Linked DNA regions of Astyanax mexicanus. The protein of the gene in region 1 binds, or shares a complex with, the protein of each later gene. Links are inferred from orthologs where the notes say so. Each region holds a gene or a part of one and is shown in the gene's direction. Other genes may lie near its edges. The genes, in order: piga, dpm2, pigq and pigc.

What was found.
Region 2: piga (region 1) and dpm2 share a complex: the UniProt entries of both Homo sapiens proteins name them as parts of the glycosylphosphatidylinositol-N-acetylglucosaminyltransferase (GPI-GnT) complex. The link is inferred for Astyanax mexicanus from reciprocal best matches to the Homo sapiens genes PIGA and DPM2.
Region 3: piga (region 1) and pigq share a complex: the UniProt entries of both Homo sapiens proteins name them as parts of the glycosylphosphatidylinositol-N-acetylglucosaminyltransferase (GPI-GnT) complex. The link is inferred for Astyanax mexicanus from reciprocal best matches to the Homo sapiens genes PIGA and PIGQ.
Region 4: piga (region 1) and pigc share a complex: the UniProt entries of both Homo sapiens proteins name them as parts of the glycosylphosphatidylinositol-N-acetylglucosaminyltransferase (GPI-GnT) complex. The link is inferred for Astyanax mexicanus from reciprocal best matches to the Homo sapiens genes PIGA and PIGC.

The regions. Positions count from the first base shown.
Region 1 is NC_064418.1:1,992,298-1,999,280, forward strand, and holds the start of piga (phosphatidylinositol N-acetylglucosaminyltransferase subunit A), read left to right. Parts: upstream 1-3,959; 5' UTR 3,960-4,160; intron 4,161-5,362; 5' UTR 5,363-5,381; coding exon 5,382-5,702; intron 5,703-6,704; coding exon 6,705-6,983. UniProt on the Homo sapiens protein: Catalytic subunit of the glycosylphosphatidylinositol-N-acetylglucosaminyltransferase (GPI-GnT) complex that catalyzes the transfer of N-acetylglucosamine from UDP-N-acetylglucosamine to phosphatidylinositol and participates in the first step of GPI biosynthesis.
Region 2 is NC_064408.1:13,683,446-13,691,428, forward strand, and holds the start of dpm2 (dolichol phosphate-mannose biosynthesis regulatory protein), read left to right. Parts: upstream 1-4,958; 5' UTR 4,959-4,967; coding exon of another isoform or gene 4,968-4,970; 5' UTR 4,971-4,982; coding exon 4,983-5,018; intron 5,019-6,010; coding exon 6,011-6,100; intron 6,101-6,845; coding exon 6,846-6,948; intron 6,949-7,646; coding exon 7,647-7,702; 3' UTR 7,703-7,983. UniProt on the Homo sapiens protein: Regulates the biosynthesis of dolichol phosphate-mannose. Regulatory subunit of the dolichol-phosphate mannose (DPM) synthase complex; essential for the ER localization and stable expression of DPM1.
Region 3 is NC_064426.1:4,414,452-4,421,903, reverse strand, and holds the start of pigq (phosphatidylinositol N-acetylglucosaminyltransferase subunit Q), read left to right. Parts: upstream 1-4,448; 5' UTR 4,449-4,626; intron 4,627-5,425; exon of another isoform or gene 5,426-6,007; intron 6,008-6,649; 5' UTR 6,650-6,692; coding exon 6,693-7,390; intron 7,391-7,452. UniProt on the Homo sapiens protein: Part of the glycosylphosphatidylinositol-N-acetylglucosaminyltransferase (GPI-GnT) complex that catalyzes the transfer of N-acetylglucosamine from UDP-N-acetylglucosamine to phosphatidylinositol and participates in the first step of GPI biosynthesis.
Region 4 is NC_064408.1:62,449,283-62,456,138, forward strand, and holds pigc (phosphatidylinositol N-acetylglucosaminyltransferase subunit C), read left to right. Parts: upstream 1-3,833; 5' UTR 3,834-3,943; intron 3,944-5,565; 5' UTR 5,566-5,568; coding exon 5,569-6,447; 3' UTR 6,448-6,822; downstream 6,823-6,856. UniProt on the Homo sapiens protein: Part of the glycosylphosphatidylinositol-N-acetylglucosaminyltransferase (GPI-GnT) complex that catalyzes the transfer of N-acetylglucosamine from UDP-N-acetylglucosamine to phosphatidylinositol and participates in the first step of GPI biosynthesis.

The DNA.
Region 1 (6,983 bases):
TCTATTGGTCCGTTCATCAAGAAATTTTGGCACAGTGTAAAGGGCTGTTTCTCTGTTCAAATTATGTAGTAAACTAAAAAAATGGACAAAAATGAAGATTATTCTTATTATTGGACAGCGACGATATGTAGTTTATAGCATAACAATGAATTAAAGAACAAGTAGTAATAATAAAAATAATATTAATAGTGGTAAAAATGTCTTTTTGTTCAGGTGAAGAGACTTAAAGGACAACTTGAACAGAAAAAAATGGTGCTGGACACAGAGGATGTCTCCAGGCTCGAGGGAGAGACGATGGAAAACGGCACAGACAATAACGTCATGGATTTACAAAGTATTTAAACTTGTAAATTAACACTGTAAAGGCTTTTTGTTATCTATACATTGATCATTGATAAGTTATCATTAATGAATTGTGTTCTTTTGCAGGAGAAGCCAACAGGCAGATCACTGATCTGAAATTTAAGCTAGTGAAGTCTGAACAGGAAGTCACAGCTCTGGAACAGAATGTAAGAACTTCCTCTCAATTTTCTCAATGTTTATTTGTGCTAAAGCGCTTAAATAGAGTTAAATGTTAAAATCTCTCTAAAATCTCTAATATCAGGCCACAAGACTGGAAGGACAGGTCTCTCGATACAAATCTGCAGCAGAGAACGCAGAGAAAGTGGAGGACGAGCTTAAAGCTGAGAAACGCAAACTGCAGAGAGAGGTATGATGGAGGATTTTTTTTTTTACTTGAGTATGTTTATTTGTCATGATGGAAATTCCAAATACAAATATTGTATTATCTGTAGAAAATGAGAAATGGCTGAAATAACAAAGAAATAATGAAAAAGATGCAGAGCTTTCAGACCTCAAATAATGCAAAGAAAACAACAAGTTCATATTCATAAAGTTTTAAGAGTTCAGAAATCAATATTTGCTGGAATAACCCTGGTTTTTAATCACAGTTTTTTTTTTCATGCATCTTGGCATCATGTTCTCCTCCACCAGTCTTACACACTGCTTTTGGATAACTTTATGCTGCTTTACTCCTGGTGCAAAAAATTCAAGCAGTTCAGTTTGGTGGTTTGATGGCTTGTGATCATCCATCTTCCTTTTGATTATATTCCAGAGGTTTTTAATTTGGTAAAATCAAAAGTTCTCTCTTGCAGTTATTTTATAAATTATTTCAGTTTGAATTTTGACAGTCTGTACCTAATTTTTGTGGATTTTCTGTTGATTTTGCTGATAAAGACTTTTACTTCTGTAATCTCGTTTGCTTCTGCTTCATTTTTTTATTCTTGAGTTTTGGCACAGTTTTTACGGGTGGGTGGGGCTTAGAAGAAGGCGTTTCCCTTGAATTTTCATTGGTTACCTGATTTTGGACTGACTGGTACCTGAACCCTTGTCTGAGACCTACCAATGAAGATTCAAGGGGAACGCTTTCTTTTAAACTCTGCCCACCTGTGAAAACTGTGCCAAAACTCAGAAACTGAAAACACAAGTACCCTAATGTTACCATAATGGCTGTGCATGCACCAAATACATAATAAAAGAAAAAGCTGAAAATGGCAAAAGAAAAAAAGTCTGGCTGCCTTTCTCTGAATAAATTTCACTCCCATGAGTAGCACTAAATGTATGATTAGAATAGCACTACTGAGGTAAATCTATTCCTAAAATTGCACTGTTGAGGTATGTGTGACTAGATCAGTACTGCTGAAATAAATTCTAATTTCTAAAAGACACTAATATGTTGCTGTACCTTTTTTTGTAAACGACAGCTCCGGTCTGCTCTGGATAAGATTGAGGAGTTGAAGTCGAGTAACAGCCACTTAACCAAACGACTGGAGAAGATGAAGGTGAAATGAGGGGAAATGAGCCTGTAAAAACACCTGACGTTTCACTATTTCCCCAAGTTCTATTACACAATACAGCAATATCAACATGAAGCACAGACATACTGAAAAACTGAACTGTACCATGTGTTTTCTTTATTTTTCTGTGTTCATCTTTGCATTGAAATGGAGATTTAAGGATGAAAGTTGTTTACGTCGGACTTGAGTGTGCATCCTTTTTTTGCACCTGTAGCTCAAAATGTTTAGAAAGTGTTATTTTTATTGGATAAAAACTTGAATTTAACTGTATTGAGTAAAGAGAGAGTGGGTAAAGGTGTGGTTAAGGACGTGGTATTGGGTCGTCTTACATGGTGGAACCTCTGTTGATAATTTGCGTAATTTTAACATTTTCATTTGCAGCAAGAACAGGAAAAGGCAGTGATCATTTCTTCATTTTTTAAGCTTGTTCTGGCTGCTGCGCTTGCACAGATCTCCACTTCCAGTGTGATTCTCCCTGATAGAACTGACGCTAAAGTACTGAAGCTAAAGCTTTAATCTTCTGAGCTTCCTTGTGTGTTTGCCAAATACTGTACCACTCTACCACACTAGTTTATATATGTAGCTATATAAACATATACATATATTAAATGCCCCTGAATGCATGTGGTCTTTGTTTAAGAGACCTGTGCCTTCAGTGCAGGCAATCTGGACACTACTAAAGTTAGTTCTCTACTGTTAAATTAGACAATGTCCTTAAATGTAGGGTACATTTTTTCACAGTGCAGATGTCTGGATTTATGAGTAACTTTTAATGATAAATGACCAGCACAATCCACAATGTCATTAAAAACACATGATCTTGTTAGCACAAATAATTTTTTATCAGGAGACTCCAAAGGCAAACATATGAAAGAACAACTTCTAATGTAAACATATTTGTTACAGTTTATCTGGAAAGAATGTTTGATGTAAAGTAAAAGAGTTATGGCATTCATCATGATCATGATGAGAACAGTATTTATAAATATTTTAACCCTGGTAATGGATGCACCTGAATTCACGGATAAAACGATGAGTCTGGAGATTGAACACGCTGTATTTAAAATGTATTTTTGATATGTTCTCACAGTTCCTGGCTGATCCACTGTATTTAATGCTGCTCTGTGCTTTGAAGAACGAATTACAGTGTATAGATGTAGTTTTATATGAACACTAACCGTGCACAAACTGCTGAAGTAGAAACTCATCTGATATTCTGTTTAAAGGCGTACAGGTTTTAATCGAGGCTTGTTTTCACCCTTTATATGCTGGCGAGACACTGCTCAACACTGTTTACAGAGTTTAAATATACTGTAAAGGGGAATTGTAAACTTTGTGCAATAAAATGTTTACCAATGCTGAACTCTCAAATGTCTCCTACTTTTTTTAAATTTTAGATTTTATTTTACTACCTAGCTAACTCATTTACTGAAGACATACAGGTAAGTTTTCTTTGCGTTTTTAGGGAAATACCTCATATATTCTATTAAAGGAATATACTAAACAAGTCGGTAGGTAACTTTCTTCATTTTTAAGATGACATTTTATTATAATTTAAATTTTATGACATCCACGAGCCTTTTAATTACGGAGGACCTTTATTATGACATACGAGAGCTGGAGCCCGGTCTCGCGCCGTACCCTCCTCCTGGCGTGTAGCGTGGCCGCCATATTGGAGGAGTCAACCACGCGACCCAGTGCATTAATTTACACTGAGGAAGGTGTTTAATACAACTATAATAATCGCAACTCTGTATACATGTGATATGGCATATTAACAAGTGTATAAATAATTAATTTTATATTTATATATACGTATATACACACATTAACTATATAAAACGTGTTTCTTCATTAAAATATTAAATGAATTCGTTTATACAGCGTCCTGTATCATTGCTACATCTCTGCTGTTTGTAACAAATCAAACCGTGTGGAAATCGGGAAAAACACTTTCCTTAGTGAGAAAATTATTTTTCTGGGGCGCATGAATGACCCATCCAATATGGCGGCCAATCAACGCGTGGTCTTTGTATATGATGTCTATGGGCAGTGGTAGCTCAGTGCGGTCGGTAGGTGGCGGTGTGCAGTTTTGTGCTGCTGGAGACCGGCAGCAGTCGAAGAAGACTGTGTACTGGCTCAGTAGCAGATGTGCTAACTCAAGAGTTCTGTGATTTATAACAGAAATATGTAGTTATTTCAGTCTGTCTCTTAATAAAACAGGTAGATATGAAGCTGTACTTTATTAAACTTTCACACAGAGGCTGTGATATCAACTGTTTAGCTGCCGGAGTCTGACTGCAGGTATTTATATTATACATATCATAGCCATCGAGCTGTTAGCTCAACACAGCTAACTCTAACTTACTCTGTAAATCTTAATATTAACCTATTGATTAAACTATAAAACTCACTCTTTACATACATTTTAATTTATAATATTCTTTTCACCCGGAGTTCAGTTGTATGAATATGAATATAATAGTTATTCCTGTTTGATTTGGGGGGTTAAGTAAAGCTATATTACAGAAACAGGAAATCTGACTGACAGGATTAACTCTATATGGATTTACAATAAACAGGTATTTCATCTTCTGATTCAAAATTACTGTTATATAAATGATATAATATATTACAAACTGATTTTTTGCACAAGTGACATAAAGTTCTCCAAAAGCAGTGTGTAAGACTGGTGGAGGAGAATATGCTAAAAAGCTAAAGTTAAATGAATAAGTCTAAACGACTATGCAATATTTACAGCCTATAGCGTTTTTTAAGTAAACTTTTATATTATGTTAAAAAATCTTATCATTCTGGTATTGGTGAATAATATATAAAAAAAAATATAAATATCATAGGTGTAGAAACAAAGAGATGGCCATAATGTTATATTTGATCGGTGTATCTAGTTTAGTAGTGTAGTAACAGGATGCAATTAGTATATATTTTTAAAACATTCAAGAAATGTAGTCAACACAACTGTGCTTTTTTAAATGACATTTAAGCATGTTAAAGTATATAGTTATGTATTCTTAAATGCAAATATTTCCAATTTTTCAAAGTATTGCAATTTGTAATACTATATTTTTCACTGTCACACAAAAGCCACGTTTGACATTGCTACCGGATTAAAGTCAGATTTACTATGTATATATTTTTGCAAAGGATATCATGAGTATCAATTACTCTCAATTACTATCCAATTAATATCCAGTGTTCTGAACTACAGATTGAGTAGAGAAAATTAAATGAGTAAATGACAGTACATATTTTAATATTTAATTATTAGAGGTGTATAAAACAATTGATATATTGAAATATTGAGATTTTTTTTACTCATTAGATCCCACTGTTTTTATTGGACTAAAAAAATAAACTTTTTTTTTTTTTTAGATTTTATAAATATAATAGGTCGTTTTTTGAACTACGATGCATTAAATAAATGTATTTAATCAATCACAGTGTATCGCCTTGCTTAAATTATCGCCATTTTTTTTTTTTTGTAGGTCTAAACTGGATGTGAACATGAAGTCAAGAAGAAGAAGAGGAGATAAACAGGCGGCTGCTTCCTGCCAGCCTGACGCTCATCCTCCCGCCCCACACAGTCCTGCCAGTCTGCTGCCCTCCGGCACGGCCAGACGTTCCTCCCAGAAGAAGCACAGTATCTGTATGGTGTCTGACTTCTTCTACCCCAACATGGGCGGAGTCGAGAGCCACATCTACCAGCTCTCACAGTGTCTCTTAGAGAGGGGGCACAAGGTGGTGATCGCTACGCATGCGTACGGAGACCGGCGTGGAGTTCGCTACCTCACCAACGGCCTGAAGGTCTATTACCTCCCACTGCAGGTGTGTGGCTGAGCTTCAGTGAAGCTGAGGACATATTAGTATTTATATTGTACAATATATATATATAATATATGTCACCCACTCTAAAGAATGCATCCTGATACTTTAAATTGCACCTATTTTTGACAGAGATGTACAAACTCACAGTTTATCTAATCCCTTTAGTAGTGAAGCATTGCCAATTAAATACGACTCTTCTAGACAAATATAATGCTATTATCACTATTCCTTATTTCAGGTAAGGGGTAGAGGGGTATAAAACCTCCCATATTAATTTGATTTTTTGAAAGGAGAAATGAATAAGCAGGTATTTAATGAAGTGAATTTTGTGCCAAAAGTTTAATGCAAAAAAAAAGAATATAGCAAATATATATTTTTAAATATAGTTGCTGCTAAAATATACTGCTGCTAAAGACTTTTTATCCTGGAATCTCTCTTTTGCTTCTGCTTCATTTTCTGCATTTCTTTTTTTTAGATTAGGCACAGTTTTCACGGGTGGGCGGGGCTTAGAAGAAGGCGTTACCCTTGAATCTCCATTGGTCATCTGATTTTGGACTCTATACCCTAGTCTGAGACCAACCAATGGAGATTCAAGGGTAAAATCCGCAGAAAATCCACAAAAACATAAAAAATAAGAGCAAAGACTGGCAAAATCCAAACTTAAATATAAGTGAAAATAAGTGCAAAGAATAATTAAGTAACCAAGTATATTTAAAAAAATATATATTTGCTAATTTTTTTTATTTTTTGAATTTGCAACATACACTTTTTTTTCTTTTTTCTTTTGATTCTCAAATTTTTATTGCGAATTTAATTTTTTGCGTAAAACGTTTGACACTAAATTCACTCCATAGTTGTTGTTTTTTTTTTTTTGTCTTTTGGCCATATATAGTGTGTGTAAGAAATGTGTGTGAATATGTTAAGGTGAATTTATTTTCTTTTAAGGATAAAAAAAAACCCTAAAATGAAAGTGACTGTCCTCTGTTTCTCTCTTTTCTGTAGGTGATGTATAACCAGTCCACAGCCACCTCCTGCTTCCACAGCTTACCTCTGCTCAGGTGTGTGTTCGTACGCGAGCACATCACTGTGGTACACGCCCACAGCTCCTTCTCGGCCATGGCCCATGATGCTTTGTTCCACGCCAAGACCATGGGCCTCAACACGGTGTTCACTGATCACTCGCTCTTCGGGTTCGCTGATCTGAGCTCAGTGCTAACCAACAAACTGCTGACTGTAACGCTGTGTGACACCAATCACATCGTGTGTGTGTCGTACACCAGT
Region 2 (7,983 bases), on another chromosome or scaffold:
AGACTAAAACGAAGTATTGTCGTTTTTCCTTTTAAAGCAAAGGGTGCCTGTAATTCTGTTATTTGTTATAATAAATTAATATGGGAGAGTGGGGCACAGCATAAAAAAAAATTATTGGTATTGGGGATGTAATGCACTACAGTTTGGACCTTAAGGTTTGTTAAAAGTACAAGAATCTAACAAGGGAAAAAAAGACAAAAAGTAAAGAATAACCAACATTTATTTTCATTTAATTTGAACACACAGATTTTTAGGGTACATTTAGTTAACCTAGTTCCATATGATACCTTGTTGAGTTAGATAATACAGCCTGTATTGTATTAATTCGGCAGTAAAGTGTGTAAAACTTAAACTATAGCATACCACCACAAGCTGAACTTAGATGTTAAAGCCAGAATATCTTGTTTATTTTCAATAATTTTAAAAATCCAAAGCTGAGAACAGTAAGTGATAAAGGTAAAGAGTGATTTAAAAAAGTAGCATATACAGTTGTGGTCAAAAGTTTACATACACTTGTAAAAAAACATAATGTTATGGCTGTCTTGAGTTTTCAATAAGTTCTACAACTCTTATTTTTCTGTGATAGAGTGATCGGAACACATACATGTTTGTCACAAAAAACAGTCATAAAATTTGGTTCTTTCATAAATTTATTATGGGTCTGCTGAAAATGTCACCAAATCTGCTGGGTCAAAAATATACATACAGCAACAAAATTTGTCAATTTTGGTGATGTAGCGAGTTGTGTCAATCAAATTAGCTTCATGTCATGGCCTCTTCACTTCTTGTAAGTGATTCTGATTGACTACAGCTGTTGACTTCTCATGAGCCCATTTAAATAGGGCTCATTTGACCCAGTGATTAGACTCAGCTACAAAAGCTACAATGGGAAAGTCAAAGGAACTCAGTGTGGATCTGAAAAAGCGAATTATTGACTTGAACAAGTCAGGGAAGTCACTTGGAGCCATTTCAAAGCAGCTACAGGTCCCAAGAGCAACTGTGCAGACAATTATACGCAAGTATAAAGTGCATGGAACAGTTGTGTCACTGCCACGATCAGGAAGAAAACGCAAGCTATCACATGCTGCCGAGAGGAGATTGGTCAGGATGGTCAAGAGTCAACCAAGAATCACCAAGAAGCAGGTCTGCAAGGATTTGGAAGCTGATGGAACACAGGTGTCAGTCTCCACAGTCAAGCGTGTTTTACATCGCCATGGACTGAGAGGCTGCCGTGCAAGAAAGAAGCCCTTGCTCCAGAAAAGGCACCTTAAGACTCGGCTGAAGTTTGCTGCTGATCACATGGACAAAGATAAAACCTTCTGGAGGAAAGTTCTCTGGTCAGACGAAACAAAAATTGAGCTGTTTGGCCACAACACCCAGCAATATGTTTGGAGGAGAAAAGGTGAGGCCTTTAATCCCAGGAACACCATGCCTACTGTCAAGCATGGTGGTGGTAGTATTATGCTCTGGGGATGTTTTGCTGCCAGTGGAACTGGTTCTTTGCAGAAAGTAAATGGGATAATGAAGAAGGAGGATTACCTCCAAATTCTGCAGGAAAACTTAAAACCATCAGCCCGAAGGTTGGGTCTTGGGCGCAGTTGGGTGTTCCAACAAGACAATGACCCAAAACACACATCAAAAGTGGTAAAGGAATGGCTAAACCAGGCTAGAATTAAGGTTTTAGAATGGCCTTCCCAAAGTCCTGACTTAAACCCCATTGAGAACATGTGGACAGTGCTAAAGAAACGGGTTCATGCAAGAAAACCATCACATTTAGCTGAACTGCACCAATTCTGTCAAGAAGAGTGGTCAAACATTCGACCTGAAGCTTGCCAGGAGCTTGTGGATGGCTACCAAAAGCGCCTAGTTGCCGTGAAAATGGCCAAGGGACATGTAACCAAATACTAATGTTGCTGTATGTATATTTTTGACCCAGCAGATTTGGTGACATTTTCAGCAGACCCATAATAAATTTATGAAAGAACCAAATTTTATGACTGTTTTTTGTGACAAACATGTATGTGTTCCGATCACTCTATCACAGAAAAATAAGAGTTGTAGAACTTATTGAAAACTCAAGACAGCCATAACATTATGTTTTTTTACAAGTGTATGTAAACTTTTGACCACAACTGTAGGTTGCTCTCTTTTTACACAGCAGAGAGAGAGAGAGAGAGAGAGAGAGAGGCAAACAAGACTACAGTTACTGTAGCACACTTCCTAAACCACTACAATACCAACAATACCATGCTTACAGCTTAAATGAATAAATTACTCTCCATGAGACAAGTGTGTGTAACCAACCGTAACCCCCAAACTGAGGGATTAGTATGAATACACAATATACACTACTATTATGGTACTAAAGCTAATTCACAAATTACATTATTATGAAATTCAATAAGACTAAAAAGTAAATGTTCTGCTTAAATGTGTTCATCTACATAAAAATCCATTTTACAGTTTACCCTGAGTTAGATTGTGCCTCACTCTGCCTTACATTATTATCTCACTAAGCTTGCATTTATCGAATTAGTGTCTTATCTGGGTGAACACTGAGTGAACAAGGTTTTTTTTTCTTTTGTAGTTTTTAGGCTACTACACTAGTATCAAGGGAATCTAAATCAAAAGACTTTATTTAAAATAATCACACCCTTTCTTGTTGTCTGTGCTCTGACAGACAGTCTGTTCACTATCTTTCTTCGTACTGCCCTCCTTGCTAACAATATGAGCGATATGCTAATGCTATCGCTAATGCTAACGCTAACACTGTCCTGTTTTTTGGGATTTCCAAACCAGCAGGCTGGTTTATTTTAGACTTTCTCCACATACAGTGTTTGTTTCTTATCAGATCGCTCTCTGGTAAGTCTTTAATGTTTAATAAACTTTGTGACAGCATGAAAATGATCAATGTATTTGCTACTTAAAGAGGCTAATGTTGTTATTTTATTTGTCTTGTTTTATTTTCCTGTATTACAAAAAAAAATGAGCCTCTTGTATCAGTCGTGATGGACTGTAACCTGTGACTGATCTTTCTTTTCACTCACAAACGTCGTTCTGTAAACGTGATTTAAGATGCTGTTGTGGGAAGACAAGTACTGAGTATTGGGACGAATGAGGGGGAATAAGGGGTATTTGTGTGATTTGCTACATCTTACATTATAAAAGAGTAAGAACGCTTGAAGGCCATTGTGTAATTCACTCTGATTTACGTTGTTTCTGAGGAATTCTCCTCTAACGTGGTGTGTTTTCAGCATTTTTGATTGAGAGTATTAATTCTACACGTAATGTTAAACTACACTGTGATCTCCAGAGTAGAATCATCGGCCAACGAATAAAGATATCTTTCACCACAACGGCACTTAAATACTAACTTTAAAGAAACAAAAACCTGCTAAATCCTCCACAACTAATGCTGTTTGTCTTCTTTCTCTCTCATTTTGTAAAAGATTCAAACGCTATGCACTTGGGTCAGACAGAAAGACTCCATTTTTTGACCACTATACTGGTTACAATTAACAAATGATCGATATATTGAAAGATTACAGATTTCTATGAAAACGCAGTATCTATATTTAACTTTACCACAAAAGTGATGAGTTTATTTTTCTGATTATATAAAGAATTATTTGAATATTTCTATTTTATGATCACACAAATAATTTCCAAAGTTTTCTTGACCTCACATTCGGTTTTATTTGGTGTATGACTGTATGTCTCATGATGGATCTAAACTATATTTCTACACTCAAATATGAATGTTTCGTATTCTGTAATGTAAATGTGTATTTGGAGGTGTATTAATGTCATATTTTTGGGGAAATAAAGCAAATGTGGGGCATCCTAAAATCACTGTTGTGTCTTTTTTTTACTATCCCTCCATACAACTGGAATATCACTTCAGCGTTATTGAAGTGTGTCTTAATTTTTTTTTTTGTGAATGTGAATTTCTGAGAAATATATATTGAATGTATGATGTAGATTCAAGCTCATCAAAGCGAGATCTGTTGCTTACAATGCATGATCAGCTGTAGGTCGATTGAGCTTCAGGTAGGGGCGGCTCTTTTCTGCCTTCTAGTGTACAAAATTTTGCAGTAAACGGTCAGAGCCTATATATTTATGATAAAAACAGGAAAAAATGCATATATATATATATATATATATATATATATATATATATATATATATATATATATATATATATATATATATATAGCAGGGGTGACTTTTAGCAAACAAATCATTGGTTAACAGCTTACAACTAAGTAAGTAGCAATGAAAATTACCTGAGCTTAATTTTTTTTTTTTAAATATCAATTTCCAAAGCCTTTTGTCTGAAGTAAAGCAGTGCTGGAACATATGGTGTTACTGTACTCTGTACTGCAGCATTTACACACTTACACTCAGCACATTCACATTTTTATCATAATAACTAGAAAAAGAAACAGAACACACAGAAATTACAGATGACAACGGTGAGTACCGTTTCCTACACCTTCAAAAGACTCTTGGAAACTGGAAAAAAGTCTGGTACAGGAAAAGGTCTGGCTGACCCACATGGCAACGATTTTAGCTCATCTTGACATTGGACTAAGTCTCGGTTTCAGCAGTGAGGAGAAGAATTAAGGGTCTGACAGGCAAAGAAATGCAGTAAAAAGACATTGATAAGAAGAGAAAATAAAAAAGCACTTTAGTTCAAATTAAACTCAATAGAAAAAAGAACAGCAGTACTGTTGTACTGTAAATGTAATAGTTTAAGTGTATTTTAAGTGTAATCGTTTAAGTGTATTAGGTGAACAGTGATGTATTGCGATGGGTCGGTGTTGTCTCCCTCTCGTGGTGAGGGCGTATTTTTGTCATTTCAAATCTCATTTCAAATAAACTACATTTCCCATAATGCCTGTTATACGTACACCGAAAACGCCTGACGCAAACGGAAGAACGCGTTGCAGAGTGACGAGTTCGTGATGGTAAGCTGAAAGATGAAGATTTGTAGAAGATTATCCTGTTATTATAGTGTAATATATTTATTATATGAAGTTATTCATGATAATTGGTCATATATTTGCGCTTCCTGGCCTTTAAATCGTTTAAAAATAGGTTTAAATTAGTTTTAGGGCCGATTAAGTTCACTGAGAGCTCAGTTAGCGTTAGCTAGCTTTAGCTAAATAACTGTTAGACTGTGTTTATCTGTTTTTTTTAGTTATTGTTGGTTTAAATATCGTTTAATTGGAAAATAAACCTTTTATTAGTGTATGAGATATGTATATTAGTGTACTGCGATATACTGAGCTCATGCTTGTGTGTTTATGCCCCTCATTCTGAGGTATACAAGCAGGATCATTGACTGACTAGTGCATCTAAAAAAATAGAATATCATTAAAAATAAGTTACTTTATTTCAGTAATTCAGTTAAGAATGTGAAACTCATATATTATATAGATGTATTAAACACAGAGTGATTTATTTTAATTGTTTATTTATTTTATTGTTGATGATTATGGCTTACTTTTGGCTACAGTGTGGGCAGTGTGCCAAGTCCTGCTGGAAAATAAAATCCTCATCTCTATAAAAGTTGTCAGCAGAGGGAAGCATGAAGCGCTGTAAGATTTTCTGGGAAAACAAAACTGCACTGACTTTAGACTTGATAATAAAACACAGTGGATCAACACCAGCAGATGACATGTCTTTCCAAACCATCACTGATCATCAGTAAATTTTACATTTCATTTGTAAATCAAAGGAGCAGAGTCTGGAGGAAGAGTGGAGAGACACACAGTCCAAACTGCTTGAGGTCTAGTGTGAAGTTTCCACCAATCAGTGATGGTTTGGAGAGACGTGTCATCTGCTGGTGTTGATCCACTGTGTTTTATTATAAAGTCCAAAGTCAGTGCAGTGTTTTCCCACGAAATCTTACAGCATTTAATGCTTCAGCCTAAGGATGAAACTACCTGTATTTAGGGTAACTGTTGATTAGTGTTGATTAAAACTTCTCTTTTCCTCTGAAAAGGCGACCGGAGCAGACCAAGCTGTGGGTTTGGGTCTCGTTGGCTTCAGTCTATTATTGTTCACATATTACACCCTATGGGTTATAGTGCTGGTAAGTAAAACAAATCCTATCTACCTTCTCTCAGTTCTAACACAGAAACTGTACTAAAGTGAAAGTAACGGGTACTGATTAGAAATTGTGCTTAGTGGAAGAAGTAGCAGAGAGTAGCAGGGGACCCACTAATAATGGAAGTTCAGTGAGTCTCACTCATTTTAGTAGGTGTTCCCTAATGCCTGAAAAATATATGACGTAGCTACATCCCTGAAATTAGAGTAGGGATGGGCAATATGGCACAAAACAGCACTGTACCTGTATATTTATCAAAGTATTATGATTCCGCACTGACTGCAGTGATTTCCTTCGAAAATTGCTGCGATAGGTCCACTTATTTTGTGTGTATGGATCAGACCTAGCAATGCTGCTGGAGTTTTTAAACACTGTTCTTCACTCACTGTCCTCCACTCTATTAGACACTCCTACCTACTGTAGCTCCTCAACCTCGTAGATAAATTAAAGTAAAGTCAGAGACAGAAGCTCTGAATCTCTTGCTGCACAGTTTGTGTTGGTCATCATTATTCTGAGTTCAGCATTGACACTGCGATGTTTAAAAACTCCAGCAGCACAACTGTTTTTGATCCACTCGTACCAGCACAACACACACAAACACCTCATACACCACCACCATGCCAGTTTTACTGCAGTACTAAGAATGAATGATCCTGAACCCAAATAATGATACAAACAGACATCTGTCACAACATAAAAACTAACCAGATCTCTTCTGCTCTCTCTGCAGCCATTCGTAGACAGTGATCATGTGATCCACAGTTACTTTCTTCCTCGTGAGTACTCGGTCATACTTCCAGGAGTAGCAGCACTGATTCTTTTACTCTGTGTCGGTAAGTAAAGAAAAATACATTTCTTTATAGATAAATTAAAAGTTTAATTACACAATAAAAATGTTTTCTTGTAATAAATAATAAATCAAAAATAGACTCTTGAGTTTTCTCATTATTAGGTTCTTGCAGGGATTGTAAACACGTTGATTTATTTATCAATTATTTTCTTAATAGCAAGTTATCATATTATTATTTGATTATTATGTGCATGTAAACATTTTTAATTGCACCTGAGCAAAAAGACTACTTCTTTTTGGTGCTACAAATAAATACTGTTTTTTAAACTTCTCTTTTGCAAAAGTTTTCATCAAAAACTACAACACAATTAATTTTAAACTTAATTTAAAACCATCATTTAGTAATCAGATTTGATTCTCATTCTTTTTAATTTCATTAATGTATTTTTATGTTTTACATTGAAAAATCCATTCACTGTTAAGTGTTATTTATCTAAATGTATCTTCCTGTCTTTTTTTACTATGAAGTGTTTGTTTCTAATCCTAATTCATTGTTGTTTACCAACTTGTAAAGCCCTTTAAATGTTAAGCTTATTTGTTTAAAAATAATACTAATATAAATAGTTGGTTAATTGCTAGAATAATCGTAGTTAGGGATGCACAATAAATGTTTTTTTATTTGACATAATTGCCAGTATTTGCTTTTTCAGTGGATTTTATTCCATTTATTTTTATCCACAGGCACCTTCATAGGAGTAGTAACGTGGAAGAATCGTAAACCAAAGAAAGTGGACTGAGGTTGTCCAGTGATGAAATCTCTCAGCTGCCCAAGACTGGACATTAAATTTAAACCCAGCTCTTCTCTGAAGCTTGCTGATCGTTCCTATAGACTCCTCCCAGCAGGCTGTGCAGCAGTATGTAAGAGGCTGATGAAATCACCAGTGATTTGTAAGAGGGCCCTGGCAACACTGCATCTCTATAAACAACAGGACACCATACCCTAGCATTGAAAACCCAGTGACCACAGCAACCTCAGCCACAGGACAGACCATGTAACGATTAGTTTATATGCGGAATA
Region 3 (7,452 bases), on another chromosome or scaffold:
TTTGGACAACAAAAAATTCTACACATGATTTAAAATAGAAAAAAAACATTATATAGTTTATTTGCTTATTTTAACATATTGAAATGAAAAATAGAAATGAATAAATGTTGTGTGTGCAGAATTGATGGTCAACTGAGTATGTTAGGTTTTATATTTTTCTGTTATATTTATCATTCATTACATGTGCCAAGTTTGTTTTGAGGATATAATTATGTATATATTATTTATTTTCTAGTAGATACTTCACTATGTATAAACTACTATATAATATGTAGTATATAATATATTTATATCTAGTATATGCTCCACTTTATATAAATTACTATTTAATATACATGCAGCTCTGAAAAAAAAATGAGTTTCTTTGATTTTAACAAATTGAAAACCTCTGGAATATAATCAAGAGGAAGATGGATGATCACAAGCCATCAAACCAAACTGAACTGTTTGAATTTTTGCACCAGGAGTAAAGCAGCATAAAGTTATCCAAAAGCAGTGTGTAAGACTGGTGGAGGAGAACACGATGCCAAGATGCATAAAAACTGTGATTAAAACCAGGGTTATTCCACCAAATATTGATTTCTGAACTATTAAAACTTAATGAATATGAACTTGTTTTCTTTGCATTATTTGAGGTCTGAAAGTTCTGCATCTTTTTTGTTGTGACAATATTTTTTCTTTTGGAATTTGTGAGAAATGTTGTCTGTAGTTTATAGAATAAAACAGCAATGTTAATTTTACTCAAACATAAACCTATAAATAGCAAAATCAGAGAAACTGATTCAAAAACTGAAATGGATTCTTCATTTTTTCCAGAGCTGTATATTATTTTATATTTTTTCTAATGTACATTTTAATATACTGTATGTAAACTACTAAATAAAAGTCAGTATATAATATACATTATTTATTTTAACATATATTCAACTATATAATATACAGTATATATAAAAATGCGCATGCTCAGTAAGACGGCTGTTCTGATAAGTATCTCTCTGACATTCAGAGGGATTCTCACAAGTCACGTGATCTGTAGTGGCTTCATCCTGAAACCACAACACAGCGTGTGTAAACACACAGTGTGTGTGTGTGTGTGTGTGTGGTATGTGTGTATTTTCCTCTAACACGTCTTGCTGCTTGGAAACAGTCCCATCACTTTCAGTTCACCTCACTGCTCACCTGCATTATCTCTTTCCTGCTAAGAATCAGCTTTGGAGGAAACGGCTGCTGCTGATCAGTATGAGCTTTATTAATGATTCAGAACTGGCCTGGATTCCAGGTTATCGATACAGTTACTGAGTACTGTAGGAAGATCCGGGAGAATTTAGTCTGATTGGTCTGAATCAGTCATTCAGGATGTGCAGGAGGTTTGTATATTTACAGTAAAATACATTATACACTTTCTATTATATAGTATATTCTATGAATAGTGATGACTGTAGAAGTGTATTCGGTGCTTCCCTATTGAATATTGTTTTAGGGTCAGAATACTCTTTATTTTGGGCCTCAAAAGATAAAAACAATTTGATTTTATTACTATTAATTAATTTTTTTAATTTTCTAAAACTTTACACTAGACAAGAAATTACATTTTTCCACATAAATCACTTTATATTTTCACTTTAGTTTTTTCCTTTCATGCACCTTTCACACTTCTTTGGTTGACCATGGCGAAGCCTGTTCTGCTTAATGCTTCAAAAATGCTTCAAAAGTGAAGAACGAATGCAAATTGACTTTATTAATTTCTATACTGAAAATAAACAACAAGACTATATAAAAAACTATATACTACAAAACTCCTAACAAAAAACAGAACAGATAACAGAGGATCAAACAAGTAAAGGAATAAATATGTCCCAGTTTTATACAAAGAGCACACATTATAACCCATTATCAAAGAAAATGGGGTATAAATACACAGACAAGGAACACCTGGAGTAGATAACAAGTGGGCTGAGTTACAAATGAGATTAATTTAGTTATTTTTATAAAAATATAAAAATAACACTGCTTAGGGAGTAGTGAGTAACAGTTTATCACTACACAGGAAGCTGACAGTAAAGTTTTCCCATCAGTCGTCACGTGACTTTGGGTTTAAACAGCTGCGGCGTTAAATCCATGAAATCATCACGTTTATTATGGCTGCAGTTGATGAGCAGTGCTGTCAATGTGACACACTTTTACATGTCTTTTATATGATGAAGCTGCAGAGCATTTAGAATAATGGGATTTATAGGACATACAGTACTGTGCAAAAGTTTTAGGCACCTGTGGGAATTTCAGGGAAAAAAGCTTCTTATCTGTGCAGTAAGTGTTTATTAGCTTAGTAAAACACATTATGGCCTTACAATAAATACAAACAGCAATTTTACAAAATTTTATTTGTGTTTTAAACTTGAATTGAAACTGAAACTACATGTATTATGTAGTTCCAAAGCCAAATAGTCACGAGTTGAAGTAAAAAGAAAATACTAATTTTATTTTACTTTAAACTTTAGGGCAACTTTTAAACTTTTTGAAAAAGTTGTAAAGTGAATAACTATTTTTGAGTAGTGTTCTAATCCAGATTATGGCAAGACCTACTCAAGTAAGTAAAGAAAAATCTAAAGAACATTAAAAGTGCACTACAAAGACTATTAAAAGCATTATGATGAAACTGGCACTCATCAGGACTGCTCCAGAAAAGGAAGATCAAGAGTTTTCTCTGTTCATCAGAGTTACCAGTCTCAGAAACCACAAGTTAACAGCTCCCGAAATAAGAGAACTGTTTAAGACTTTTAAGTTACTACATGATTCCTTATGTGTTCCTTCACAGTTTGGATTAGTTCTGTATTCACTTACAATGTAGGAAAAAACATTGAAAAAGATGTCCACACTTTTGATTGGGACTGTATATTTATATTAAAATATATAACATATAAAAAAATATAATAATTTAAGAAAAATGAACTCTGTTGTCCTTACACACATTCACACATGATAATGACCTGAAACAGATGGGTAATATCAGTGTTTGGCACACAGTGGCTCAACTCTTCACAATTCCTATTAAATACTGCCACCTACTGGACAACTACAATACATATATTTAATAAAAAGGAAAAACTGTTAAGAGATGCTCTTATCTGTGCAGTCCAGCAGCTGTTTAAACTGTATAACTGAGGCAGGGTGAGTTAACTGAATCACCACGCCTGGACACAAGCTGATAATATCAGTGCTTATTATGTAGAAACAGTCTGCTGACACTGCATTAAACACTGAATAGGATTTTACAGACACTAATAAATCCTATTCATGTCCAGTTTTACAGGCTGATCTGCATATTAAAAAATGTATTAATTAAATTAGACACACAAATAAAGACTTAGTTCTTAATAATAATAAATGACATTAAATAAAACTTAACAAAAACAGGCTTAAGTGTGGGCAAACATAATTAAATTAAGAATATATATATATATATATATATATATATATATATAGCTCTGGAAAAAAAGGGACCATTTAAAACTTATGAGTGGCATAAAGTTATCCAAAAGCAGTGTGTAAGACTGGTGGAGGAGAACAAACCGAGATACATGAAACTGTGGGTGTGAAAAACCAGGGTTATTCCACCAAATATGATTTCTGAACTTTCTTTTTGCAATATTAAAGATCTGAAAGCTCTACAACTTTTTTTGTTATTTCAGCCTTTTCTCATTTTCTGCAAATAAATGCTCTAAATGAGAATATTTTTATTTGGAATTTGGGAGAAATGTTGTCTGTAATTTATAGAATAAAACAACAATGTTTATTTTACTCAAACATAAATCAAAATCAGAGAAACTGATTCAGACACTTAAGTGGTCTCTTATTTTTTCCAGAGCTGTATATGATTTTATTATTATATTAAGGGTAGTTGCTGTGGTATACCAGGTGGTTAATAGGGTTGTTGCTGTGGTATACCAGGTGGTTGCTAGTGTACTTGCTGTGGTATTTCAGGTGGTTGACAAGGTGTTGTAAAAAAGTATCTCAGGTGGAAGCTAGCATGTTATCAAGTGGATGCTATGGTACCCCGTGTGATTTGTGGTTGTTTGGGTGTTACTAATGTACTGAGGTCAGTGTGACACACCCTTTATTTCTATGGTTAAAAAAAAAAGTAAAATAATGAAAAACTAAGTATGCAAGGCCAAACTGCACAGACAAAACAGTCTGGGGCTGAAATGACGTTAAGATGCTATAAATACAAGAAAGAAGAAGGATATAAATTGGATATTAATATATTTGCCATAATAAATTAATAAATTAAGAAAAATACATTTTTATCTGCTTTTAAAAATGCTACCTGAAGCTGCAGGTCATTTTGTTTTGGGGGAGGGAGGTGAAATCTCCACAGTTGGACAGTGTTTACAGTAAAAACAGCTTCACCTCAAGCTCAGTCAACTCAAAGAAGGCTAAAAAACTCACACACACCAACCGTACTTAGCCATGCCTCTAACTTACTAACTAACTCACTAACTGAACCCAGTTCCCTCCAAAATGTGTGGTGTTATCTTTCTGAAGGTTGTTATCAGCTCAAATAGGCAGTTCTGTCTGTGAGGAGATCCTGAAGAGCTGAAACACTGGAGTTCTACACTGAAAATAAAGGTAAGTAGAAAATAACAACAAAACTGTTTAATTTTGCTTATGTGATAGTTTACTAGGGTAACATAGTTAAAATAATGAGAAAATTGTTTCATAGCTAAAATTGAAGGTTATATAGTATTTATTGTTATTGAAATGTATTAAGGGAATTTACAAGACAAGAAAACCTGTTAGTTATATAGTAGTTTTTGCTTAACTGTGGTAAAAATAAAATAAAAAAAAATTAAAATACAACTCAGTTGGATCTGTTTTCAATTAGTTTTACTATTTACTTAATTGTTTTTCAGTTCATATTAAATATACACACTATATATGCTGCATTTTAGTTTTGTGCAAAATTTGTGAATTTTGGTTGGAACATTTGTTTCTACTGAATATTTATAAATATTGATATACACATATTAGTTTAATTGTTATATTATATTCTTGAAATATTATTTTTTATATTCAATTATTTTTTGTTTAAAAAACAAGAATCTCGTTATTGCAAAAACACCCTGAAATATTGTTATACTCTTTAAATTTTTAATAATTTAGCTATATGCTAAATGCTTTTTTTTAGTCTTTAAAAATAATTTCATGCACCTGGATTTGCCATTAACTCCTAATAAATAAACACAAAAAATTTAAACCTAGTAATTTATCTACATTGATTTGTCCTACAATAGCGTAGCAAAACATATATTCGTGTCAATATCTAATTCTATTTCAAGTTGTGATCCAAATCTATCTATTTTATTTATTAAATTATAATTCAAGCGAGTAATTATTTGGTCGGAACGAATTATCTAAGCTTCAGTGTTTGAGCCCGGTGGGTTAATGCGGGGGGTCCGTCGGTGGCTGTGACTTTAGCTAAGATAGCTAGCCTAGTGTGTTTCTGTTTATTTAGAGTATAAAACTTGTATTTATGGTGCAAATAACGATGCGTGCTTAAACATCTGTGTTTAGGGGTTTGGAACAGGGGGGTGGTGAACCAGAGGAGTGGTTGGGAGAGCTGAATAATGCGGATTAAAGTGGGTGTAAACAGGCTAAGCTAACGAGCTGGGGTTTAGCTGTAGCTGTAATATGGGGATTTTGGCTGGTTGTTGCTGCTGCTGAGGGCTGTGTGTGGTGTTATAGAGGCTGTAGTGAGATATTAATGTGTTATAAATGACCCCCCTGTAGTTTATAGCTTATAGTAAGCTGTGTGAGGCTGGTAGCTGGCTGTGTGTGAGGCTGTTAGCTGGCTGTGTGTGTGTGTGGTGCTGAATGTGGGTCAGTGGTGCCTGAGGCTCTGTGTGTATCTGAGCTGCTGAGGGTCGATATTCTGTATGAAGGGCAAAAGCACAGCAGCTGGACTGAGCTTCATCTAGTCCACAGCTCTGGGAGTTTCACCACAAGCTGGGTAAGTGTGTGTGCATCTGTTTTTGTCTAAAATAACAGGATATATACAATAAGTAACTCTATTCTTTACTATAAAAACTAAATTTCTAGATATTTGCAATATTTGTAATGCATCTTTTCTTCTAGACTAAATTTTCACAAACCATAATCTAGTTTTTACTTGTAAACTCAAACTAAAAGTTTCGTGATCTCTGTAATGGAAAAAAAGTAAATTATCTGGGGTTGATGCTGCAGTTGGTCTGCAGGTCTAGGTTCAGCAACAGTATGTGCTGAAGGAATAAGGTCAGCTGACTACCTGAATATACTGAATATAGACCAGGTTATTCCATCAACGGATTTATTTTTTCTTCCCTGATGAGCACGGCCATATTCCAAGATAACAATGCCAGGATACACGGTGCTGGAATTGTGAAAGAGTGCAGAGTTCAGGGAGCATGAGATCATCATTTTCACACATGGATTGATGTTTACTAGGGAATTTAGTTAATTATTGTAGGGTTTTTTTTTTACCTCCTGAATCTTCTGAATTTCTTCTCAGTTAAGGTGAAAGTTTTTTCTCTCTTTTATACTATTGAGAAGTGTAGCATCCTTAACTATCCTTTACTTCTAATAAATCTTTGAATTTTGTGTGTCTGATTGACAGGAGTTCTCATTTTTCCTCCCGGAGGTATTTTGAAGGATCAGCCATGGTGCTGAAGATCTTTTTCCCCAAGTGCTGCAACACTGCGGACAGTGGTCTGCTGGTGGGCCGCTGGATTCCGGGCCAGGACTCGGCTGTTGTTCTTGCCGTGATCCATTACCCCTTCATACCGGGCCAGGTGAAGAAGTATCTGACTCAGATGAGGAGCCAGACCAAGGTGGACCTGACCGTTCTGGGTTCGTGGAGCATGCCCAAAGATGGCCAGGAGGGGATGGACAGCTTCTTGAAGGACCTCAGCACCATCTTCCCTCATTCCCGCTGGCTTCAGCTGAGCCGTGAGAGCGGGAAGAGGGCCTTCACCTGCCGGGTGGTGCAGGAGAATGGGAAACCCGCGGCTAAAAAGGACGGTGATGATAATGATGATGATGATGATGATAAAGATAAAATCATCTTCGTTCATTACGATCAGAGGAAGGTCATGCTGTCGCAGCTCCATCCTGTACAGGAACAGAAAGGCTCTGAGGAAGAGTCTACAGAACTGAGGACCATGTTTCAGACTGTGGCTCAGAGCGAGCCCCTGTTTTTTCACGATATGTACGACGAGGGGCCGCTGAAACTCACGCACTGGCAGTCGGAGGGCAGGGAGGCCAGCATCATCGTGGAGCTGGTGAAGCAAGCCTCCGTCCCAGTCTGCATAGTTCTCACCTGGCTGCTGTCTGTGTGGCACTGGCTGTGTAGCTTCAGGTGAGCCTGGTTTAAAGTGTAGATTTTAGAGGTGTAATGACAATTTTTTCAGGTAACTACTT
Region 4 (6,856 bases), on another chromosome or scaffold:
AATGCACTGGAACAGTCCATCCCCTGCATATGTGCCAATTGTTTATTTTTGTTTTCCATTCGGAACTTGTGCCAATAACGTTTGGTCGCTGTATTGAAACCCATAAAGGTTTATTTATACTACTCGTCGTGTTCTTCTTTACTTGTATTCTGTGCAGTTTTATGGTTCGGTTTGGTTTTGTCATGTATGTTGTCATTATATTTAGTTTAGCCCAAATACAAAAAATGATCAGCCAAAACTTTTGATGCCATAATGTTGCTGCCTTTTGCATTGTAATGTCAGGCCAGTGTAGCTAACAAGTAATATAAGCTTATAATCAGTTATCAGTGTACTGCATGAAAGGTTAAATTAACCACTACCATTGTTTTTAGCTAATGTACTTTTTAATAAATGCAGCATTGTGTAGCATTCAACCTTAAAATAACAGCTTCAAAATCATTCTGGTGAATCATTTATCTAGCATTGCTCCTGATGCTGATACCTGCACTATGTAACTTTGGTGAAGTGGCCAGAACACTATATAACTTGAGTCATAATTGTGTCAAATCCTGCAATATCCTGGTTCTGTATCTCTCAGTTCGGCAAGAAAAACCTGTTCTTTAGCTCTTGTGCAAAGAAGGAATTCCTGAAAGTAGGAGCACAAAGGCAAGAAATGCCAATTTTTCTATTGTCTTGCTTTAAAACACAGGACTGTTGTGCTATTATGTTTGGGTCCAGGATGACATGATTGTGTCACAATTTCTAATGAACACTTTCATAATGCTTATTTTCAATTCAAGCACAAAATGTACCTTTGGTTTCTGCAGCCAAGGAGTTCTATTCTGCTCACTAAAACATATCAAGCTTCATTAGGTAGTTCCTGAAAAAAAATCTTTGGGAAATTTGGGAAGAGGTTTCTCCTGGTAACTCATGAAGTCATATGCATGAAGGCTATATTTGAACTAGGAATTGCTGAACAGTAGAACAGAGCACTATCACTCCAGGGACTAGATATTTTGATGATCTTTAGCAGGAAAAGAGCCTTTCAGATTTGCTTGCCTTTTCTTAAATTCCACAAGCAGTTCTCTTAGAAATGTTATGTTTTTCAGTCCTCAACATTAGCTGCACTATTTCTGATAACTGTCATATCTTATTTACATTATGATTACAAAAAAACACTGTCACATCTTATTTACATTATGATTGCAAAAAACTGATTGTTAAGACAAGATTTTGAGATGTCAGGGTATTTAGAAAGTTGTGAAATGTTATGACTGGAACCAAGCTATAGTTTTTAACAAGTTATTAAAAGACCTTGGTAAAAAATTGATCTGAAAGCGTAACTCTGTTGGGGTGCCTAAACCCCCTTTTAAAATGTAAAAACAAATTTAAAAATGCACTTAACTTGCCTAGAATGTTGATAGAATGAGCCATTTTAACTTTTTTAAATAACTTTGTCCTAATTGAACTATTTATAGTAACATGCATTTTGGCCAGGGTCAAGGTTACCTTTGGAGACAGTAGAGATCCTGACTGGCTATTCTTAACACTATGGATTAGGGGCTTGTGTTGGGCTGGTCCAGGCACTAAGCCGATCAAGTGCTTGGCATATGGCTGTTCGTTTCTAGGGGCACAACTTTTTCAAAAACAGGATTAAAAAAGAGAAATGTGCCAAAGTTGCACTAGATGGTAAAGGCATTGTGTTTTTAAAACAAAATTGTTTTTAAGTGTTTCGCTATCTCTTTATTTTTAGCTAATAAGACCACCTACAGTGTGATATAAACTTGGGTAAACACTATTAAAATCTTTAAGACTAGAAATATGATAGACCGCAATATGATGTTTAGTGTTTTCAATCCTGGTGCTGGGGCACCCTGCCTAGCACATTTTAGGGAATTCCTTGCCTTTACAAACCCACAGTCACTCTGAAAAGACGTAACTCAAAATTAACTCATTAACAGAATCGGGTGTGCGGGGAGAAGAGAAACACTGTTCTGTTGCTTAAAAAAGATAATAGTGCACTTGAATAATTGTTGCCAAACAAGGCTGTATCCTGTGTCTGTGTTGTTTCCTAGACAGTGACTTGCAGATATGTAGGCTTACCAGTATCTGCATGCATATCTGAGATGTGCTTTAAAAGCACAAAGAAGTCATGTTATGTTGTATTAGCATTAGCCATTTCTATTTCTCTACCAATACAATTGTATTAAAAAGGTAAACTGTAAATATGTATATATATATATATATAGCTACATTACCTATTTCTTTTGAGAAATATTTTTATGAAAAAATGTCTTTTTGCAATAAATTGATATGATGTGCTCTCCATATTAAAACATTTTAAAAATGTGTCTTACTGAGTGCCCATCTATTGGGGCTCTTCTGCTCTTTCCATTAGAAAAAGATACTTTTATAATGTGCCTCCTATTCCACAACTACTAGATAGTGTACTGTATATACAGTAATTCAGTTTAAAATGTAAAACTCATATATTATATAGATGTTTTACACACAAAGTGATCTATTTTAAGCTTTTATTGTTGATGATTATGTCTTATAGCCAATGAAAACCCAAAAATCAGTGACTCAACTGGTACTCTATAAAAGTTGTCAGCAGAGGGAAGAATGAAGTGCTGTAAGATTTTGTACGAAAACGCTGCACTGACTTTAGACTTGATAATAAAACACAGTGGATCAACACCAGCAGATCACATGACTCCCCAAACCATCACTAATTGTGGAAACTTACACTAGTCCTCAAGCAGCTTGGACTGTGTCTCTCCACTCTTCCTCCAGACTCTGCTCCCTTGCTTTACAAATAAAATGTAAAATTTACTGATGATCAGTGACGGTTTGGAGAGTCATATTATCTGTAATATGTAAGTTTCACATTTTTTACTGAATTACTAAAATACAGTAACTTTTCAATGATATTCAAATTTTTTTAAGATTCACCTTTTAAGATGCTACCAAACTTTGCTGGAAATTGACCCTCCAGGCCTGGAGTTGTGCATTTCTGGGATTGACAGAATGTGTTGTTTCAGGCAGTCAAAAAATTGTCAATTTATGACCATAAAAAAGTCTCTGGGATAGTGTAATGTTGGTCAGCACGGGCGTTTGTAAGCTGGTGTATCAGAGCTGAGTCGCTGCACTTTCCTCTGAGTGTTCTGACTACCTATTGATTCTGCATCAGTGGCGGTTAGTAAAGAGGTAGTGTGTGACTTCACATGTTTCAGAAGACGCAGATGCTAGTTTTCACTCGACTGGTGTTTGGGAGCATTTACAGAGATAGGGAGTCCTAATGTGAGGGTCAAGAAGTCTGGGAAAACATGAGAGAGCTTGGTGTGAAGTTGGAGTTATATGAGAAATCTATGATGTATGTCATTTTTAAGGACAATGTGTCAAAAAAGTTACAAGAATTATATTGGTGAATTGTATGTGTGACAAATAGTAAGATTTGTGAGACAAGGTATTTGATTGTAATAAAACAAACACAAATACCTGCACAGGCTGTTTTTAAACAAATAAAGTGTCAATTAAAAAAGGAGGGGTAAAGATAAATATCCTTGGGACGCTTTAGAAATATGATGAGTATTTTAATTAATCATTTTTTAATGTGCTCTTTTTTCTCTCTCCCCGTGTAAAAGATCTCTGTAAACCATGCTATTGATTTATTTTTTTTTATTCTCAGTGTTGAAATGTGTTAAGTCTAATTTTACAGCGATACAACGTTCCTGTCAGTCCCTTTGGCAGTTATAGACATATCAAAATCTCATTTTGGTTTAACAAAGCCCTTCTCTGGATATAATCAGTTTTCTCACCTTGTTCACTACTTGTGTGTACTCCTCCAGCAGGGGGCGCAACCCCGCCCGCCCGGTCAGTCCGCTCTGGTGTTTTCAGCTTTCGTCACATCCGGCAGATCCAATGGCGAGATGTGAGCAGCGAGGAGGAAGCAGCTGATCCGGTACGAGTTTAATACCTCAGTTTATACAGTTTATCTCCTTACAGCAGTGCTCACACCTCTGTGTAACTGTGTAACTACTGCCTGAACACAGAGAGAGAGAAAAAGAGAGCTGTGCCAGCCTGTCCGCTGTGTGAGGACACGCTCAGACACAGTGAGAGATACAGAGTGCAGAACCGGTTATGTACTGAGTCTGACTCCTTTAAAACACTGAACAACGGGACGAGGAGGATTCTTTTTAGTGGTTTTCAGTATTTAAATGTGTTAATTAGCCCCTGAACACAGGGAAAAGGCTGAACTCTTGAGTCAGTAGACAGTCAGACTGTCAGTAATGTCTCCACCCTCTTCCTGTAGCTGTTGTTCCTCCTCCAGCTCTTTTCTTTTCATCACTGCTCCTCTTGACTGTCATTCTGTACCGTTATGATTAAAGCGGATTTGTATTTACAGGTTCAGCACTACTATTATTATGTTTTTTTTTATCCGAAATAGAACTACACACATAAAAACCGAAGGTTTGCTGTTGAGTATTGTAATGACTGATGGTGATACATGTCTGAACTCAGAGTGAAGCACTGGAACTAAAAGGACAGATCTCTGAAATTTTACTAGTAGAAACTCTCATTTCGGATATTAACTCTAAAATGTTTACTAGTAACAATATCCTATATACAGAACTATAAATACATTCTGACCAGACTTACTACCAGGATGATATATCCTTTATGTAATTTGGAGTAATACAAGTATGCATTTCAGACATTTTTATCATTATTTCTTATTATTTATGTTCTGACTAGTCTTAATATTATCTTAATATTTGTAAAACTAGATTTTTTACTAAATAACATGCCACAATTGATTATTTTTTTCAGTTACTGATCTGTGGATTGATACAGAAGTGTCTATATTGCTGTTTTTTTTTAAGTTGCCCTCCCCAAAATGAAGGATAAAAATGTTTTTTCTATGATTTTTCTATGCTCTGTCTTTTTGATTCAGAAGGAAATGATTAGAATAAAAATGTGTAGGATATAAACTACTTTTGTTGTCACACTTGATTCATTTTAAATTTCACTGTACAATCTGGCTATTTAATGTTAATACAAAGGCTGTATACAAATTTACTAGTCCATGCTAAATTCATGAATTCCTCTTTTTACATAAATGAGACGGCTTTTAAAAATATCAGAATTGGTAGATCAATGAAAGCTGTCTCATTACATCAAAATGAAAAGTGTGTTCAAACATTTCGACTCAATTAGAGAATTCTGAGTAGACATTTTGAGTTTTAACCTATTCTTTCTATTTATCAAGCTGCTAAAGTACTGTATGACTGTATAAGTCACCTTAAAAAGGAAAGTGTAAACTCACCAAATCAGAGAAAAAAAATCTGATTACTCAAATCACTTGAGGTGTTTCAAGATGCATTGAAGTGTAATATTCTCTCCAAGACAAATAAAACTCCTCCCAATATAACCAAAACACAAGTAATAATTGCTGCGTAAACTTTTTAGTTGGATGTAATCTAGCCATAGTCATTTGAGGTCACCAGGTGAAAACAGGGTCTATGTTTTCTAGTAAATTCACATGGTGTATTATAGCTTCATAATCCATATGTCATTTTGCAGGCGATGGGCGCAGACAGTGGTCCGGGTGCTCCCCCAGCAGTCCCGTGGCGTAAAGTGCTGTATGAGCGTCAGCCCTACCCTGACAACTATGTGGACCGCCGCTTCTTGGAGGAACTGCAGCGCAACATCGGTGTCCACCAGTACCGCTACTGGGCTGTGGTGCAGGAAGCAGGCCTGGTCGCTCAGCAGGTCTCCTGTGTAGCCGTTTTTCTCACATTATGGTTCTACATGGATCAAGGAGACCTGGGACCCTCCACCCTGCTCTGGGCCAGTCTTGGGTGTGCACTTCTGGGTTATGGGCTCTATGAGGCTTTGGGAGGAGGCAGTGGAGAGCGTACACGCATGGCAGACCTGCAGAGCGCAGCCATCTTCTTGGCCTTTACCTATGGCTTTTCTCCTGTGCTGAAGACGTTGACTGAATCCGTGAGCACAGACACTGTTTATGCCATGTCATCCATGATGCTGCTGGCCCACCTGGTGTCCTTCCCGTACACACAGCCCAGCCCCCCAGGCAGTCTGTCCCTGAACGCAGCGCTGTTTGGCTCTGTGTGTTTGGCCTCACGGCTGCCTGGGGCCCTGCACACCTTCGCCATGCTGAGCTGTGCCCTCCTGGTGTTTGCTCTGTGGCCCTGCCTGCTCCATCGCCTCAGGGACCGGGCTGAGTGGAGCTTTCCCCTGGCTGCAGGCCTGGTGTGCACAGCTGGGGTCGGAGGTTTGGCAAGCCTTTGGCCAGGAGGAGCTCTTCTCCTTCTTTTAGCTCTGCTAGTGCTAACTTTAGCCTGTCCGATGCTGCTCGTGCATCTTCAGAGACACAAAGACAACATCCACGGCCCGTGGGATGAAGCAGAGATCAGAGAGGACCTCTCACGATTTTTAAGCTAACACAAACACATGTAATAGTACTATGGACCTCTTTTATACTGAAAAATTGTTAACTGTACACTGGTGAGTGTTGAGGGCTATGACAGCTGCTTATATCAGATGTTCAGCACTTTAACATAAAGGCTCAGGGAAAACTTGTGCCTACACTGACCACTCCTTTTTTAAGACTCCATCTGCTAAATGTCTAAAACTGTAAACAACGTGCACATAATCATGAACAGTATTTTTAAAATATTTAACTCTTACTAAAATACCTGGTAAAATGATTACATTTTGTTATAGTTATTTATTTGATGTGTAATAAGTCATGAAAAAAAATATGATGGTAAACAAAATTTTTGTGCTTTTATGAATTAAAACACTTTGTCATACTAATGTAAAGTTTCTGAAATGTTTTTTTTGCTCCAAA